2 linked regions of the Caenorhabditis elegans genome follow. The protein of the gene in region 2 purifies or fractionates together with the protein of the main gene of each other region. This does not show direct contact. Each region holds a gene or a part of one and is shown on either strand. Other genes may lie near its edges.

The links.
Region 1: the proteins of ztf-7 (region 2) and ucr-11 fractionate together in Caenorhabditis elegans (co-fractionation; one large-scale study listed by BioGRID). This does not show direct contact.

The regions. Positions count from the first base shown.
Region 1 is NC_003279.8:6,552,036-6,555,228, reverse strand, and holds ucr-11 (Cytochrome b-c1 complex subunit 10), read left to right. Parts: upstream 1-1,849; 5' UTR 1,850-1,857; coding exon 1,858-1,913; intron 1,914-2,178; coding exon 2,179-2,293; 3' UTR 2,294-2,395; downstream 2,396-3,193. Other genes in the region: tre-1 (Trehalase), read right to left, coding at 154-254, 300-328; Dolichyl-diphosphooligosaccharide--protein glycosyltransferase subunit dad-1, read left to right, coding at 940-1,150, 1,485-1,615; spg-20 (Inheritance of peroxisomes protein 1), read left to right, coding at 2,617-2,727, 2,778-2,902, 3,008-3,089, 3,134-3,193.
Region 2 is NC_003283.11:9,786,493-9,791,631, forward strand, and holds ztf-7 (Zinc finger protein ztf-7), read right to left. Parts: upstream 3,216-5,139; 5' UTR 3,152-3,215; coding exon 3,032-3,151; intron 2,985-3,031; coding exon 2,783-2,984; intron 2,740-2,782; coding exon 2,653-2,739; intron 2,604-2,652; coding exon 1,727-2,603; intron 1,677-1,726; coding exon 1,376-1,676; intron 1,324-1,375; coding exon 1,132-1,323; intron 1,088-1,131; coding exon 1,022-1,087; 3' UTR 501-1,021; downstream 1-500. Other genes in the region: F46B6.6 (Tr-type G domain-containing protein), read right to left, coding at 60-210, 264-333; lipl-2 (Lipase), read left to right, coding at 5,096-5,139. UniProt on the Caenorhabditis elegans protein: Probable transcription factor. Limits the ability to tolerate cold environment or cold-warm stress. In complex with rps-2, mediates the cold-warm shock response by promoting translocation of components of the RNA exosome from the nucleolus to nucleoplasm.

The sequences.
Region 1 (3,193 bases), on a different chromosome or scaffold from region 2:
AAGATTTAATTTACAATCAACAAGACCTTTCAAATTTACAACTCCGTTGCAAAAACCGGTTCAGGTGATAAAGATAGCGTCTTTGATAGATTGTTTTTATGTTTTGTTATGTGATTTTTACGTAACAACAACATTAAAAACCAAAAACCTTACTTGGATCATATTTTAGTGACATATCGACGAAGTGCTTCGAGTCTGGAAACATGTGTGAATCTTGTACAGTTTGAAGAATTGGTCCATTGCAATAGATTTGTCTAGAAAAAAAACCATTTTTCAAGAATATTTCAAAGGAAACTTACGCTAGGAGGTTGATTACAGTGTAGAGCATAATTTCCTATAGGGGATGAAGAGTACAGAGAATGTTAATGACAAGGCATTCGGTCAGACACTAATTCGAATTTGTGGGCGGAAAAATTGGCAAAATATCGTTGATTTTTCTTCTTTCTTCTCTGATGTCAGCCGAGTGCCCTCAACGTCTCGTGTCTCACAAAATGAAAAATAAATCAACAAAACATGAAAGTGTGCGGCGCCACTGCAAAAGTGCGTGCCGCAGAGTTGCAATTGGGCGGGGACTTTGGTCCCGCAGCGAAACAACTAGCAAAAATGTGTGCTCCTTTAAACGCCGCCCGCCGCTTTTTACTTGATTGTTGTGCCACGTTGCTCTTTTTAAGCTTTTTAAATATTAATATTGTTATTTTTAAAGGATTTATACTTTGCGGGACATTTATATTCGTTAAATACAGGTCATGAAAGACATTTCTCTTTTATTATACTAGCAAAAATAAAAGTCTGAATGCTTTAAATTTTATTTTTTCATGAACATGTTTCAAGATAACTAGGTTGCATTTTCTAATTCAAAATTTATGTTTTTTCGCTCCTTTCTAATATATTTTATCTTATTGTTCTGTTGTATCTCAAAGATATTAAATTAATTACAGAATGGCGGCTCAAGTAGTTCCAGTTCTCTCGAAACTGTTCGATGACTACCAAAAGACAACATCATCGAAGCTGAAAATCATTGATGCTTACATGACATACATCCTGTTCACCGGAATCTTTCAATTCATTTATTGCTTGCTCGTCGGTACATTCCCATTCAACTCGTTCCTCTCTGGTTTCATCTCCACTGTCACTTCGTTCGTTTTAGCATGTGAGTTGTTTATTCAAAAAATTTGGGTTCAAGTATATTGGCAACATGAGTATTGTTTTCAGTAATAAAAGGTTAAAACGGTGATCTTTGTTTTCCTAAAAAGGGTTTCTGGGTTTCTTAATAGATTTGCGCTGATTTAAAATGTTTGGTACTTAAGCGAAATAAAGTAAATATAAATTGTATGTTCATTTGAGTTTCGGATGGACTGCAATTTTCACATCGTATCATAAACATTGGAAATTCCAATGGGCCCCCGCTTCAGCCCTCAAATGAATTGATAATAAATAAATGTATTTTTAAGCAATTAATTCTAAACGTTAATATTTTGTTTTAGCGTGTCTCAGGATGCAAGTAAATCAAGAGAACCGCTCCGAGTTCACAGCTGTCTCGACAGAACGTGCATTTGCTGATTTCATCTTCGCAAACCTCATTCTCCATCTTGTCGTCGTCAACTTCTTGGGATAAACTCTGAAAAGCTTTAATATGTATTTATTTGTTTCAATTCCTTCCATTAATTTATTTGTGTTGCAAAATGCCACCTGGGGTTTCGTTTCTCTTGCTGTGTTACACCTAATTTAATAAAATATGTTTCTGTTTTAATTAGAAGTTTTTAGTATTCAAGAAGAAAACTGCGTTATTGTCGCAAATTACTTTTGATGTGCACATTCTCATCCAGCTGAACAATTATAAACTAATCAGGTTGAATCATGCTGTACATGAAGCCAGCTCGTTTCGTGAAGAACGCCTTCACCAACCCTAATTAGTAAGTTAAATACTAAAAACGAAGAAGTTTAAGCATAGATTGTTTATTGAAAATACTTGCCACCGCAAAAACACAAGTTTTTAACTTCATTCCGATCTTTCACATCTAAATACAAATTGTAAAATACAAAAAGCAGCCCGCTGTGGTTTAATTACCTAGTCTTCTGCGAACACTCGCAATTTATTTGTTTTGAGTGTTTATAATAATTTAAACATTTTCACAATGAACGTGGATTCGGTTAGGATGTTCTATGATTTTCTTCCAGCTTCAAGTCGTATGGAGCATACGGAGGATCCGCTTTCCTTTTGGCCATCTACTTCTGTGAATGGAAAACCGTCGGACAGTACATCCCACTCTGGAACAAGCGTTACGTCGAATAGATTAAATCCTCAACACCTATTCCGATCGTTGATTGACTTTTTTAGAATTATGAAGATGTTTATCTTCTAGAATCTTTTTGCTCGGATAAACTTTCTATTATTGGCCTCTTTTTCGTTGAAAAATAGTTTATGCACAGTCGCTTAGCGCCGGGATTTCGAAATTGTTGTGACTCATAGCGAGCCACTGAGCAGAGATAGTAATTCAGAAGAGAGACGCCGACGACTAAACTTGTTTTCGCTGTTGTTGTGTGGTCTCTTGCATGTTTTTTTACTCGTGCCGTTTTTTCTCATTCGAATCACTTGTTTCAGTCAAATTTTCAGCAATGTTCTCGATATTTATGAGAATTCCTGATACTGCTCAGGTTGATGCAGTATTTTCTGGAGCATATGCATCAATTGAACAGGGATTATGCTACGATGAGGTTAATGATTGGGTATGTTTATTATTTTGAATGAAAACTTTGAAAATAATTGTTTTTTTAAGGAAAATACTCTCGCAATGTACGAAAAAGGATTGAATTTGATCGTCGAAGGAGAGAAAATGAAAAATGCGAGGAAAAGTGAAATGTGGAAAATGTTACAAGAATCAAAATCAAGTGTCCAGCATAGGTGAGTGATTTTGAATTAAAAACGTTGATAAAACCGCGAAAAAGTACCTTTAAAGTTCACATTATTTTTTTCGACTTTTTATTTGAAAAAAAAAAAAGTTTATAGAATCAACGTTCTGAAAAAGGAAGGACCAAAGCAACCAACTCCAAAGAAAATCAAGGAAGCTGAAGAAAGTGTTGAAAACGAGGTATTTACTCATTTTAATTAATTAAATTCATTTTCCTTTTTCAGAAAGAAGCAATCAGAATGCAGCTCGACTCCTTTGGATCTCAGGAAGCTGACTTGATTTAT
Region 2 (5,139 bases):
TGCGAGGAAAATATTATTTATTGCGGCCGCATTCGACTATACATTTCGAGTTTCCTTACGAAGGATTCATTTGCTTCCAAACATCGACAGTTTGTTTTGTACTTTTCGTACTCTTCACGACGGCGGCTTCCACAAACTTTCGCCTTCCACGTTTTCCTTCAGATGCGAATTGTTGAGTTTGAATTCGCCAGAATGTTGTTGTGGTCTGAACTGCAATTTTTTCACATTTCTAACTATGTTCTACCCAATATTCATCCATTAACCTTGCGAACATCGTAAAAGTTGGCGGCTAGTCGCTGTTCGCAACAACTGTAGAATCATCGTTTTGGACATTCTGATAGTTTCATTTCAATTTCCAATCGATTCCAAGAATCTTCTTGAAGAACTCATTGTTTGAAAAGTTATTTCTCAACTCCCACAAAGTACAACCTGACGAATATCTACATTTCATTGGCACTGCCTAAATCATTTTACCATGAGAAAGCTTTATTCAGGTTAACAACGTACGAACTAAACTGACCGATTTGTACCGGGCTGTCAGAAACATACATGGGAACAGTGGATCATCGTGAAAAGGGGTCATTTAAAGGGGATATGTTAAAGTTGGGAAGGGGGCGTAGTGAATGTACTTGATCCAACTGTTCCAGATTCTCATTAAAAAAAGCATGAAAGGAGATGAGAGAAAGTTGGAAGGGGAAACTTACTTTGAAACAAGAGTACAAAAAACAACGTGCAATATTTCCCAGCATACACTAGGAAACATGGCGAGGAAAACGGAAAACAACAACAATCTAATGATTGATAGGTTGATTAATAGAAAAGATGAAGCAGTCAAAGGACCACTACTGGAATCATTTGAAAATTACAGCCGAAAAGAGAAAGATTATAATAAAGATTGTCAAAACACGAAGGATAATCAAACAAAACTAGGGAACTATTGATTGATATCCGAATGTACTATGTATAACGAATAGGTAATTGAAATTGTTCGTGCGAGCTGAGATGAGGTAGTTATGTCAAATTACATGAGAGCGTTGAGGTCATCCTCGTTGAGTTCAGATAGCTCTGGAAGGTCTTCGGCGATAACCTGAAAAGCTAATTACAGGCAAAATCTCAAAGAATATTACTTACTCCTTCAACAGTATTACTTTTGCTCTCAAGGACGAGTTTAGAGAAACGCTCCTCACTCTCTCCTTCATCGTCGCTGCTGCAAGTGATTTCGTTTTCTTCAAGGATCGATTCAAGCATCCACAGGAAGTGATCATTTCCGAAGATCGGAACTAGATTTTCCTCGGTATCCCAAATTGAAGCATCCGGAAGGTGCTGTAAGAATATTCTTTTTTGAAATCAAGTTTAAATTTTACAAAGGACTTACACTCAATGGCTTATGTTCGAGAATATGCTTTTGAAGAGCGAGAGGGTTTTCGAACTCAGTCTTCTGACAAACCCAGCAATCTGCATGATAGTTCTGCTTACGAATGTAATTGATCAAGCGAAGACGTTGGTAACTGTTCAACTTGTCATCGCTAACATTCTTCAAAAGATCAAATTCGTGAGTAGTCTTCATGTGTTCGAGGAGCGATTGAGCGTTGTCTTCGCTAGCATCACAGAGAAGGCAGACAACGCGAGTTTCATCGGCATCGAGATTGTCTTCCTGCCATTCACACCACTCATTGCTGAAAAAAAAAAATCATAAAACAACATTTATGGAAACTAAAAATCTCACTCTTCCTCTTCTTCGTCAGAATCTTGGAACGTGGGCATGGTATCTTCGAAGTCCTCGGCGAGCACGTCGAGCCATCGTTTGCCGAGTTCAAGGTAGTTGATGATGTAAAACTTGTCGTAGTAATGATTCTTTGGATTGACCTCGCGATGGTTTCTCTTACGCATATGATCCATGAGAGTGTTACGATCTGGGAAGATTTTTTCGCAGTAGATACATTCATTGCGGTGAAGCTTCTCCTTCAAATGCTCGATATACTCGGTAACGAATACCAAGTTGTCAGGAGATCCAAGGTTGAGATGGTGAATCATATATAAATGATGGATGATTTTCGAGCGATTTCCACGAGCATTGTAGCGACAGAAGATACATTGGAGCTGGAAGGAAGTATCTTCACGCTCACGTTGTTGACATTGCAATGCTTCTTCAAGTCGGCGCATAGCAAGTCGTTGTCGGAGTGAACGATCTTCAGCAACATTTTCCGACATCAGATAGTAGTAGTCGGTCTCTCCGAAGTAGGAATCGCCTTCGCTTGGCTCAATTCTTGGGAAGATCTTATCAATGCTCTCTTTTGCGAAGCGTTGACGCCAATGTTCGATGTAACGTTTCGGGTCAACAATCAAATTCATCTCAGAGACAACTATTTTGTGCTCCTTGAGAAGATGATCAGCAAACCCAGAAATTTGCTCAGGCAGGTCGAAGAATTCCAAACAGCTTACACACATAGTCGGACCTCCCCAGCGTGGAGAATATCCAACAACTGGAACAGTTCCAGACAGAGTGCGAATGCGTCCGCGAGCAACAGTCAAGCTCATCTTTTCTGGCTTCTTTGGTCGTGAATCCTCATCATCAGAATCCGAGAATGGCTCATCAAGCTCGTCTGCAATTTTTGAAAATAAAACTAGATCATGGATATTAAAAAATCATACATTCGTCACTATAATCGAGTCCTTCTCCATTGCTGGCTTGTGACATAGTTCTTGTGGAGTCGCGCGCATTCCTCTTGGCAGATTGAGCTGTAAAATACAAGTTAAATATTGCCAACGTTAAAAAACTCACAATTGGAGCTTCTTGTTCTTTTGTGATCATCGCCAGGCGATTTGGACTTGACGTTGATACCACCTTGACTGAAGCTTTTTCTGTCTGTCCAGTCCTTACGATTGGATTGATTCTTCGAGTTGCTCACACTATTTGTTCTACTGCCATTTCTGGAGTTTGAACCATCACCTTTCGTGTTTGAGCGTCTTCTTTGGCGATTGTTCTGAAAAAATCTTTTTATTAAAACTATCAAAAAGAATTATAAACTACCTTGCTTCCACCAGATGACTCGGTGTCAGCATTCTTCTTGGGGTTGGCATTGGGGCTACTTGCCACGTTTTCCTTCGAAAGATCGGGGGTGTTACCACCACCGCTTCCCGAAGTTGACATGGTGTAGCGAAGGGGCCAAATTCAAGGAGAACGTTTGTCCAATAAGGAAAACGTATACCTGGAACTTAATTATGCAACGATTTAGTTCAGATAATCAGCAAATGAAACGAAGAAAATGAGAAAACAAACAAATAGCAGATTTTTTACGTTAAATCTTAAATTTTCAGTCAAACAAAAGTTTTTGGCAGATCTATCTTAATTTTTTCAGTCAACTGACGTTGGAAAACAACAGGATTCGACGAAAAATAGAAGAAAACAACCAAAAACAAGAGAATCTGCCACTTGGCACAAAATTTAGGAGACACGACGACAATTTTCATGTGCACACCACTTAACGCGCTTCTCGTGTCACGAAGAACGCGCCAGCAAGCGACTCTGCGCATCTTGTTGGCACCCACACAAAACTATACTCTCTCGTCGATCACCTGTCCCGGTCACGTTTTCACTATGAGGGCCGTTTCAATTCAGAAATGTTTAGATGTCACGTGGTGTCTATGGACAGTTGGTAGACAACTGAAAAAGAAAAGTGCAAATAAACAATAAAATCAGAAAATAGATTTTTAAAAGTTCAGTCTAAGAATTTAAGAATATCTGATTTGACGAATATACTCCTGTCGGTTTGGAAACTTTTGTATACAGTAAATATCTAGGAAATGTTAATAAATACATCTGTTTTGCATTTCTGTTGGTCTTATCTATTTTGATCAGTTTTTAAATACAATTCATGTTCGATAAAAAATATCAAGTTAGAAAAGATAGTTCGGGAAGATATCGAAAAATTAATTGTATTCAAAATAGTAAAAATGGGAAGACAGTTAGAATTAAATTCTGATGTAAATAGGAATTTTTATGACAAGAGAAAGCAGCTAAAATAACAAAACGGGAATACGTAACTAACTCATTGACCATGCTCTCCACCTGTTCACACAAAAATATTTTTACGAAATCATGAAAGTATAATAATTGAGGACAAAACAACTTCCAATCAATACCTAGTAATTTTCAGCGAACCAAACGTAAAAGTCTACCTCACTTTGGAAGATAACCAAAACAATTGTTGTTTAAACAACGTGACAATTGATATGGTCAGTTCACGGAAACCGGAAACGTGACATTAGGTGCTAAATTTTTCATAATACACAAATCCTGGTTTATATTAAAAAATGTATTGCAAAAATCCTGGTGAGACCAATTCGAAAAAATGGCAGTACCTAGGTACGTCCCTTTAAACGGATGTGTAAAATTTTCGCGATATTACGATAGCTGGCAGCGGAAAGTATATAATCTGAAACCTTTAAATCTGAAACCTATCTGAAATCTGAAATATTTTAACACAAAAATTGATCTTTCAGATTTCCGTGAAAAAGTGTACTAATTTCAGGATCACTTTTGTTTTGATCACTTTTTTGCCAATAATTAAAAATTTCCTAAAAATTCGAACATTTTGAATTTCAAAAATGCAATACTTCGAAAATTCCAAAACACCAAAATTGTTCCGAATATTCCAAAACATAAAACCAAAATTTGGAAAAGTTTCAAAAACCAAAAAACTCATCCAGAAACCACAGTGCACAAAGAGTTTGGCGTTTGACTTTTTTCTATATTTTGGTTAAGTTAACTTGACCAAGTAAGTGAATAACATATATGTGACAGTAACTATCACCGTTGAGATTTGTGTCAAATCTTCTAAATTCAGAGAAAATCTAAATTCTCCCCAAGTACATTGTAGTCTTAAACAATTGCCTACGCACACTTTCTTTGTGAATTCCTATATGTTTGTATCAGAAACTGTGCTCATCTGATCTCCGGACTCTTTGGACAGTTTTAATGTTCGGCACACAAACATCAATTTGCTCTGATTCGTATGATAACACAATACTTCGACACGTGTTTCATATATAAAACCAGCGAAACTGTAATGATAACTGATCGTACTAGAACAAAATGTTGTTCTTGGCACAGATCACATGTCTTATATGTACATCCTT